3 linked regions of the Drosophila melanogaster genome follow. The protein of the gene in region 1 interacts with the protein of each later gene in a pairwise test. Each region holds a gene or a part of one and is shown in the gene's direction. Other genes may lie near its edges.

Evidence for each region.
Region 2: the proteins of d4 (region 1) and Hsp67Bc interact in a two-hybrid assay, tested with the Drosophila melanogaster proteins (one large-scale study listed by BioGRID).
Region 3: the proteins of d4 (region 1) and PolE4 interact in a two-hybrid assay, tested with the Drosophila melanogaster proteins (one large-scale study listed by BioGRID).

The regions. Positions count from the first base shown.
Region 1 is NT_033778.4:5,292,285-5,296,471, forward strand, and holds d4 (d4), read left to right. Parts: upstream 1-1,778; 5' UTR 1,779-1,980; coding exon 1,981-2,428; intron 2,429-2,512; coding exon 2,513-2,779; intron 2,780-2,831; coding exon 2,832-3,610; 3' UTR 3,611-3,681; downstream 3,682-4,187.
Region 2 is NT_037436.4:9,370,964-9,374,149, reverse strand, and holds Hsp67Bc (heat shock gene 67Bc), read left to right. Parts: upstream 1-1,652; 5' UTR 1,653-1,832; coding exon 1,833-2,432; 3' UTR 2,433-2,639; downstream 2,640-3,186. Other genes in the region: CG4456 (uncharacterized protein), read right to left, coding at 706-760, 829-988, 1,055-1,175; Fdx1 (ferredoxin 1), read left to right, coding at 3,132-3,186.
Region 3 is NT_033778.4:22,410,241-22,413,129, forward strand, and holds PolE4 (DNA polymerase epsilon subunit 4), read left to right. Parts: upstream 1-1,548; 5' UTR 1,549-1,613; coding exon 1,614-1,794; intron 1,795-1,848; coding exon 1,849-2,135; 3' UTR 2,136-2,342; downstream 2,343-2,889. Other genes in the region: qkr58E-3 (quaking related 58E-3), read right to left, coding at 71-156, 299-388, 447-811, 872-993, 1,053-1,209. UniProt on the Drosophila melanogaster protein: Accessory component of the DNA polymerase epsilon complex. Participates in DNA repair and in chromosomal DNA replication. Has a role in cell cycle progression. Required for wing morphogenesis.

The DNA.
Region 1 (4,187 bases):
TTCAATCAAAAACTGCATCGATCAGCATAATTGAATTTCACAATGCAGTGGAATAATTTCAGCATAAAGCTTTTATCAAAAGTTCAGAAAGTGTCAAAGAAAAGCTTCTGGCCGAGGTTGATTGGATTAGGATTCAGAATTTGAAGATCAGTCTGATTCGGGAGGATTAAAAGAACGGTTTATTAGTGTATAAATAGATAACAATAAGTGTCTTGTAATAAAGTGATAAGTTGAAAAGTTTAACACCAATAAAAATACTAAAAAATAAAAAATTATTTTTTAAAATAATTTATACCGCAAAAAGTTAATTTACATATGTGAGGTTTGAGGCCAAAATTTTTTTCGGCTGCTTTTCATGGCGGGCCCCTGTGGTTGGCTAACTCTTTAGCGTGGAACTCTGAGGTGCTTAAAAATACCGTTTTTTCATTTTCACGGTACTGCACATAGAATTTTGTTTGTTTTCGTGCCTGCCTTCGTCCAGCGTTCCGCCTTTTATACACTCGTTGAAAGTATCCAAGCCAAAATCCCGCCATTCTGGTCTCGATCAGTACTTTCCACGGATACAGACGATTTTCCGATTATTATCGCTACATTTTGTTGCCCAATAAATGATCCTGGCAACTTTTTAATATACACTTACTGGTACGAGCGTCCAAGAATAATCCTGATCTATAATTCTTAATTTATCAGATCGGACACGTTTACTTTTTTTTCGCATATCGATAGAAATTTACAAAACTAACGGAAAAATATACAAATATCAAAACATTTTTTTAATATATTAGCCTGGCAGTCTTAAGCAGTTTGTGAATGCTTCTGGATCTGCATGCTTAATCTCAACCTTATAGCTTTAATAGTTCCTGAGCTTTCGACGTTCATGCGGACGGACATGGCCAATTCAACTCGGCTATTAATCGGATCAAGAATATATATACTTTATGTGATCAGAAACCGTTCCTTCGGGTTGTTACCTATTTTTTAACGAATCCAGTGTACCCTTTTAGTCTACGAGTAGCGGGTTTAGAAATGGAGCAGATGGTATCCTTGTCAAGGAAGTTTGCGGTACAATTTAATGAGATCCAACGCCTATGGTTTAACTTCTGGCGAATGATTGATCTTTAATAAATTTATATCTAATGTATACAGACTTTAAAACTTCGATTTAACTATCGACCCCTGCGGTGTTGATTTCGTGTTTTAAATGTTTTTGTATTTGTTTTAATACACTTGCTATACATCTACATCAAAAAATTCAAATAGAATTGTCAAATTCAAAACGACTGAATAAATTTCACCAGTGTGAATAGAAATAAAGAAGTGGTTTTCATGAAGAGGGTTATGTTTATCATTTTCATCAATATGGCTAAATTGGATAAATAACATATATTCTTAAAAAAAATTTTGAATAACTATTTAAAAGTCAAACTCAGTACATTTTGAACATGACTAATTCGAGACGATATGACCAGCCGTTAAGCATTAAGAGACTTTCACACTCCGAAAATTCTCCTTCAATGCGATAAAAATTCGGAATTAAAAAATATAGCATCAATGGTATAAAAACAAAAAAAAATAAATAAATTCTTTTAATGCAATGTTTATTTCTTAGCACTGGATCAAGAACTTTTGCTACAGAACTTATTGTTAATGTTAACTTATTGTTACGTATCAAGAAGTTGTGAATTGCGCATTAGGGAGCACTTGTGGAAATAACTTATTATAACTATGGTCGAGAACTTTGATATACATTTTGTATCTATTTTAAAATAGAAATACGTTCACACCTTTTCTAAATATTTAATTTTGTACTTCTTGCCTAGTGCCCCATAACAATTCTATATTTTGTTATTTGTATCAGCTTGAATTGTGTGTGAAGAAACATAAATTTTATCAATGACAAAAAAATATGTTGACAATTTAGCTCTTTAGTTTAGCTATTGCTTAACCAAATAATTCCTGCGGCTACCACTCGGCATCAACATGGCTTCCAAATCTGCGTACGAAAAAACTTTGGTAGTAAACATTGCCAATTTTGAAAAAATTCAGAACTTTTTAAATGACAAGGAAAAGTACAAGGAGATTCTAGAAAACAGCGAGAATTTCAACACTCGTCTATGCATTGAACGTCGACTTCGCATGCCATTCCTCGATCCCCAGACAGGTGTCGCACAGACACATTGCTCCCTCTTTATGAAAAAAAAACAGCGAATGCCAGGTCTTCGACATGGTCAGATATACACTTATCCATCGTCTCGGTGGCGCAAACCAAAACGTCAGTACTTACTTAACCCGAATCAAAGTTTCCGAGCCTATCAGTATCGCGAGCACAACCTTCAGCACTCCCACCATCAAACGCATCAGCATCACCATCATATACCTTCGTCTGGCGTTGCTGTACCACAAAATCCTCACTTAGCTGAAAGCGCAGGTAAAAAATTGCAGCTTATCGTCGGATGAAAGTCAATATTTTATACATCTGACATTTATATTTATTATGGGTTTTTATTTACAGCCATTGCTGCTACGGATGGCAACTCCATGGGAGCATCAGGAGATAATGATAGTAAGGACTCACATGCAAACGTCGAAAAAGAATGGTTCCACGATGAAATGGACACATCACATTTTCATCATGGCGATGAATTTGAGGATGACTTTGATTCAGATAACGATTTTGATGAGTCTTACACCAGCCGGGGCAAACGCAAAAAGTGTTCGCGTCCTAGACGAACAAATGCAAACGTAGAGGGTACTCCCAAACGGGGACGTAAAGGTGGTGGTGAGTACAAGTTTATTAAGCTGATGAATTGTAAACGTTATTGATACCCTAGGCAATCGTCGAAAGAACGCCGTTGAGGGAGAATCTGATCGAAAACGTAGAGCCGGTGGAAATAGTGCAAATACATCCGCAGCCGCAGCGGCAGCTGCCGCCGCTGTCGCACATGCAGCATGTACTGCAGCTGCTGTCGCTAGCACTGGGCTCTATGCATCTCATTCCAACTCAGCTTCGCCTATTCCCATAAATGACGACAATTCACAGTCAGGACTCATACTGCCAACAAACATATCGTCGTCGTACGATAAGACTTCAAGCGATGCTGGAGCTTCCAATGACTCAATTCCCCTAGCAACAATGGTTGCCATAAACGCGGGCCTGACAACCTCAAATGTTTGCAATGCGCATCCGGTGCAAACAGGAACAAATCAAACGGTGTTTGCTACTGGTAATAAGGTCAAACAACGTGTAGAACGTGACATAGCGCAACCATCACCTTATTGTGACTTTTGTCTGGGAGATCAACGAGAAAATAAAAAAACCAATATGCCCGAAGAGCTAGTATCGTGCTCGGACTGTGGTCGTTCCGGTCATCCATCGTGTCTGCAGTTCACGGCAAATATGATTATATCGGTAAAACGTTATCGTTGGCAATGCATTGAATGCAAGTACTGCTCCATCTGTGGGACCTCTGATAATGACGATCAACTTTTATTTTGTGACGATTGTGACCGGGGATACCATATGTACTGCCTGTCACCACCGCTTGTGACTCCACCAGAGGGTTCTTGGAGCTGCAAGCTATGCATGGAGGAGTTCCACAAGATTAAATAAGCTAATAAGCTACATTAATAATTCACCAATTATAAGTTAATCTTCTCATAAATATAAAAAACGTACATTTTACTTGGTTTGTTGAATTTTTTGGTCTTCTATTTTTCTTTTTATGCGCCTGTATGGGTTTTATCAGTTTTGGTTTAAGTAACCTAATTAATTTTTACACAGGTAAAGACACTTGACTAGCAACATATATCGAGAGTTCAATTGATAAAAATTATATATATATTATTGTGTAGTTTGGCGAAATTAAAGTCTGCTAATTTAATCCTCGCTATTTTTATTTTTTATTATATTTTATAAATGTTTCTTCTGTGTGCTTTTTGAATTACAAAGTGGCCAAATTAAAAGGAAATATAACCGTATAACGATTAGATTCGTTGAAAAGTATGTAACAGGCAGAAGAACGCGTTTCCGAATGTATAAGGTATATATATATGTTCTTGATCAGGATCATAGCGAATCGATCATGAACTATAAAAGCGCAAGTTTGTTGACCCATATTTTATTGTTTGTCTTGTTAATTTCTGTAGGTATTCCAAAAAACACTTTGGCCACGCCCTTCCTTTAACCA
Region 2 (3,186 bases), on another chromosome or scaffold:
TGGCTTTTTTTTAAATTTTTCCTCTATGTTTCGAAGATAATCTTGTTGTCTGAAGTTTCAATCCTATGAAATTTCTATTTAGCTGGCGAAATTTTAATTTAGTTGACTTTCTTCGAGTTGTTAGCAGTTGGTTTGGTTTTTTTGAACTGAGAGCGCAGTGTCCAACCGGTGGCTATTTATACTCTTGGCAGAGAGGAAATCCATATAATCTAGAAAATACCGGCACTCTCTCGAATTTTCTTCGCCCTTTGCTGATGCAATTTTCCACTTTGCCTGAAATCGGGCAATGGCATTTAGTTAGGGGTTGTTCACTGTTCTTTAGCGAACTCCGTGGAAGTTTCTGGGGCTCTCTGGGTGTCCAAATATTACTTTATTTACCTTTTATTTTAGCATTTAGCGAAGTTCTCTCTCGCTGTTGCGCCTTGGGGAAGGTCAGTTTCCATACGCAGAGAGACAGATTGAGAGAGCTCCATTAGAGAGTGGGAGAGAGAAAGTTTTGTGGGAGTGCACAGCTTTCTGAGTGCGAGTGTATACGTGTGTGTATTGATAAGCTTGCCATGGGTGTAGTCAAGAACTTGAGATATATGAAAAATACAGCTTAATATTAACAAATAATTAAAGTTTTCTGTTTTTTTTAGCTATTAATAATTAATTAATTAATTAATATTAATCTTCATTTATTCAGAAATATAGCGACGTTTATCGTCAAAGTCCCTCCTTTTGAGCCCATTCATTCCAGGAGCCTTTGTAGATCACCACACTAAAATGAGCATACATATATGTATCCGATATAAACTATTGCAACTATAATACAATTTTAAAACTCACTTGCTGTATCCCTGACTTTTGGCAATTTTCTCTGCTTCCAAGACTCGATTTCCCGACCGGCAGGTGAATATGATTGGCGACTGCTTCTCCGGCTTCGATCTTCCGTACTTGTTTTTAAAAGCAGATCCATCCAGATTTAGAGCCTTGTCCAGTTCATCCACTAAGTAAATAAATAGTAATAAAACACATAGTAATAAAGCAAATACTAGGGAAAGTAGTTTATTACAGGGTATATTGATGCTGGCTGGAATGAAGCCCGTCTGCTGGAGCTCTTCCTTCCGTCGAACGTCGATAAGATACACATCCGGATGGTTGGGCACATCCTTAACCTGTTCGTACGTGGCCATTGTAGTTATGGGGCGGAGCACGAATTTCAACCGGTTCGCCAGCTGAATAACAACTGACTTGCCAGCTGGGCGCAGATGATCCATTTATGAGGTTCAAGATTAAAGATTCGGGTATGTACATATGTATGTGCGTACTTGCTTATCGCATTTTGATTATCGTGGTGTCGTCTTGTTTGTCCAGCTGACACTGGAGATTGCGCCTCTCATCTGTATCCGATTTCACTTTGAATTTGAAATTAAAATCTTATGGTATGATCTCCAATACAGAGCTTGCTATCTGCACTCATTTTATACATACATACATACCTTATGGCGGATCACATATAACAGTTTACAGTCTACGAAAGCTTGGCCCCCAGAAGGTTCCCAGTTGTCTCCCTAGAATCAACGAAACAACGAGTTGCTGCTCCAGAAAAGCTCTGTGGCAATGGGCAAAGCTCTTCCGTCTCTATAAAAGGGCGCAGACAAACCGTTAAACTCCACATTCGAGTCGGAAAAGTCAAGGTGAATTGTGCGCCAAACTGCAGCTGAGATTGTGGATTCCACCACCCGCTGGCAAATCAACCCCTTGGATACTTTTTGAAAGGAAAACAGGTCGTCGGTTCAACGAACCTCCTTCCGCCAGATACACAAAGAAGTTAAGCAAAGAAAAGTAAAATGCCAGATATTCCCTTTGTCTTGAATTTGGACTCCCCGGACTCCATGTACTACGGCCACGATATGTTCCCGAATCGCATGTACAGGCGATTGCATTCGCGGCAGCATCATGATCTTGATTTGCACACCCTGGGTCTGATTGCCCGGATGGGTGCACATGCCCATCACCTGGTGGCCAATAAAAGGAACGGAGAGCTGGCTGCATTGAGCCGCGGTGGAGCCTCAAATAAGCAGGGCAATTTCGAGGTCCATCTGGATGTGGGACTCTTTCAGCCAGGTGAACTGACCGTCAAACTGGTCAACGAGTGCATTGTGGTCGAGGGAAAACACGAGGAGCGCGAGGACGATCATGGACATGTATCCCGGCATTTTGTTCGCCGCTATCCGCTGCCCAAGGAGTTCGATTCGGATGCCATTGTTTCCACTTTGTCGGAGGATGGAGTTCTCAATATCACGGTTCCACCATTAGTTTCCAAGGAGGAGCTCAAGGAGCGCATCATACCCATTAAGCATGTGGGTCCATCGGATCTCTTCCAGAATGGAAACGGTCATAAGGAGGCCGGTCCGGCAGCTTCTGCTTCAGAGCCAGAAGCCAAGTGAAGAGCCCCCTCCTAAAGATTGCAGCCTAAGCAGCCAAGTGATTTCCCAAGACTCTCGTTTATCGTTGCACCAAAAAAAAAGTCAAGAAAATATCGCACAAATCGTATTATATTTATTAATTTATTATTAGCTACATTTTAAACAGTCCAATCAAATTTTAAGACTAATCGAAATCCAGTATTAATAAAGGAATATGAATGTCTCAGTAATCAAAAGACTTTTACTAATATTTAAGAGCTTAATTCATATCAAAAAGCACGAAATCCAATTTTGGGTACAATATTAACTTTCCTTTGTTCGATTAGACAGGTATTAAAAGCTGTGCATATTAAAAATAGGTCCCCGGATGTCAATCCTACTTAAAAAAGCTTTGGTTAGCCTTTTCCCAGGTGCGATTGAGTGAACTTTTGAACTTTGAAATGAAAGCCCGCCATAAGTGTAATTATCGATAGCTTTTAGTCATCTTTCCAAAACTATCTATCGAAGTAACAGTTTTTAACAAGTGGTAAGTCAACGATAAATTTAATAAAAGAAACTAACATTTAATTACACAAAGTATATATATTATTTTTAAAGTTATTTAGCAGATGGAGTACATTATAAACTAATTTATTTTGTTTGGGATTATAATCTGAATAATAAAAACCCGTGACATATTGCATGTTGCCCATCTCCAGCTGGCACTGTAACCTCAAAAAAATGTTTTGTTTACTTTTGCGCCGCTCTGCAGTTCATAATTCCTGCAAATTAATCA
Region 3 (2,889 bases), about 17 Mb from region 1:
GAAAAATCGATCTTATGTCATAGACCCCGGCACTACCCAAATAAAGAATGCATGCTTGGGATTAACTTACGTTTGCTGTACTCATAGCCCGTAGGCGGACGCTTGGGGGGCATACGATGTTCATACTCATAGGCCACCTCCTCCACATCGTCGACTCTATAAAAATGAAAATGTTAATTGCTGGGTTAACAGATGTTGGCTAGGATTTAAGGCACTACTATGACGCGAGGACTCTCGGTTCCATTACTCCTGGTGGGGTCATTAAATAATACAAAATTATACTTTACAAGTAACTTACTCGGGCGGATTTTCCGCAGCTCTCTTAATCAGGTTGATGTATTTGGGAGCCCCATTGCTGTTGCCTCCAAACTTCTTGTCGAAGACAGATCTGCAAAATAATATATTTTTATTCTCATGCCCAAAGGCTGCATAGGGTGTAAGATTACCTGTAGGCCTCCAGATTCGGTCCGTGAATGTTTTTGGCTGACTCGGGATCCATTTCCATCAGCTCGCGCAGCTGTTCGTGTGAAACCTCGTCGTTCTTGTCTGGAATAAGATACTTACGGATCTCGGCCAGAGCGTAGGCTATGCGGGCATAGCACTCCGCCGGAGTGGCCACCGTGCTGACCTCCAAAAATAGGTCCTTCTGAAGATGAGCATATCTCGGGTCGCCTGTGCTGCGCAGCTGCTCTTCTTTGTTACGATCGCGGATCGAACTGCGACCCTTAATGGCAATCTTGCACTGGGTCTCCTCCTGAAGGCGACGCAGCGAATTGCCCTTGGGCCCCAGGATCTTGCCAGTGAAGTTGAACTGCGCAAGGGTACGGATTTATTTTTCGAACGGAGAGGACAGCTAATTGTATAAACCCACCTTGGGATACTGCTTTACGGGCACGAAGACCTTTTGGGTAATCTTCATCGGCTTCTGCTTGTACACGTCTGCGTAGAACTCTTTTCCGGGAATACGACCAGTGCAGTAGACACGGTCCACAGCTGCAATATTGGGATTAGTACCATTAAAATACCCTGTAAAAGGGCCAAATTGATTTTACCCTCGTCGATTAGCAGTGCGCAAAGTGGAAAGTCCGCGGACAATCGCTGGCGCTCCTCGTCCAAATCGGCGAGAAACTTTTGGGCCACCTCGTTAAGACGCGGCTGGTGATCGTGGGTGGGTGGCTGTTTCTCAGTAAACTCGCTTGGGGTTTCCATTTTTATCATAACAATCTTTACAGAAAATTACAATTAAAAATGGTGTAGACTGAAAAACAGTATGTACACCAATGAACTAAAATAATGGCAGAGCTGCCAAGCGTGTGAAGTTTTCGGGCTGCCAACTTTTTTAATTCAATAGTGATTGTTTAAATGTCGATTTTTTCCACTGTGTACAAAATGTCGTGTTTGAAACACAGAAGTAGTACAATTACTATAGATTATTTTAAAAAGTTAAATCTGTTAGTAAGGAGCTTCGCCGAGAAGATAGCGGAGCTGCCACCATTTCGATTTCATACATGGTGCAATATCGATATTTTTGGCGGCTGCCTTGATACTCATCTCTAAAAATATGGTATTTGGATTGCATTCGCTTGGTTTGTTTTCAATTTTTATAGTGCGCAATGGCCAGCGAGGAACTATTTGAGGCTGAATTCTCGGAAGAACAGGACTTGGAGCATCAGCAGGCCATGGAGACTGAGGAGGCGGAGCTAGCGGAAACAGAAGAGCCTTTGGAAATCACCGAGGAATCGCCGGATAATCCTGAGGCAGAATCTACAACAGAACAATTGACAGAAAAACCAGGTAAGTTAGATGCACTTAGATAGAATTTCTCCTATATGGCTCCTTTCCTTCCAGTGACGAATGGCAACAAGGCCCCTGCTGATAACGAAGCCAAGATGACACAACTGCCGTTGGCCAGGATACGGAACATAATGAAACTAGATCCGGATCTGCATATGGCCAACAATGAGGCCGTGTTCATAGTGGCGAAGGCAGTGGAACTATTCATAGCCTCGTTGTCACGGGAATCATATACCTACACGGCGCAGTCCAAAAAGAAAACCATACAAAAGAGGGACGTGGATATGGCCATTTCTGCTGTGGACAGTTTGCTATTCCTTGATGGAGCCATGAACTTTTGAACACCCCCACAAATGAAACTGGATTTGTCGATTATACTTTTATACTTTATTTAGGGATATTCAGCGGCAAACAAATTCAGTTCTAAACGTCCTTATGGTTTTATGTTAAAAATAATATTTAAGTTATAAAACAATTGTTGATTCGCAAAGAAAAAAAAACAAAAAAGAAATCATAATTATAAACGACAACGTTTAACGTTTCACAATACTCTTTGCTATTCGGAATTTGTAACGAAGCCGGCATTTGGTTAATTTATTTAACTGCTGAATAGTGTGGTTTGTTGTTTGTTAATCATACTCTGTCCGCAGGCGATACTTACTTTGTCGTTGGGCACATACATTTGTAGTTTATATTTTGCTTTTTATGTTGGTTTTATCTCCATTATCTTATGAAACAATATTTTCAAGCTTAGTCTAAAATTATGCTTTGATAAATTAATTGTTTTGGGGGGGTTTTCGCTTGTGTTTAGTTCTCTTCTCGTATTGGCTTTAACTAGTATTAGGTTGATTGAAGTATGTCTTTTGTTTTTACAATCTTTTTGAGGATAAAATTTGTTGCATTATTGGTTTCTTGTTTTAATTTTAAACACAATTTGAATATCGGACAACAGTTGCAATAAAAATTTACGTTTTTTATTTGATTTTCGTTTATATATTATATTTAATAGGTGTGAATAGTTGGATTGTTGACTTCAAACATTTTGATATTTCGTTGGAATATATTTTAATCTTTACGCTTAACATTGTTTAGTTG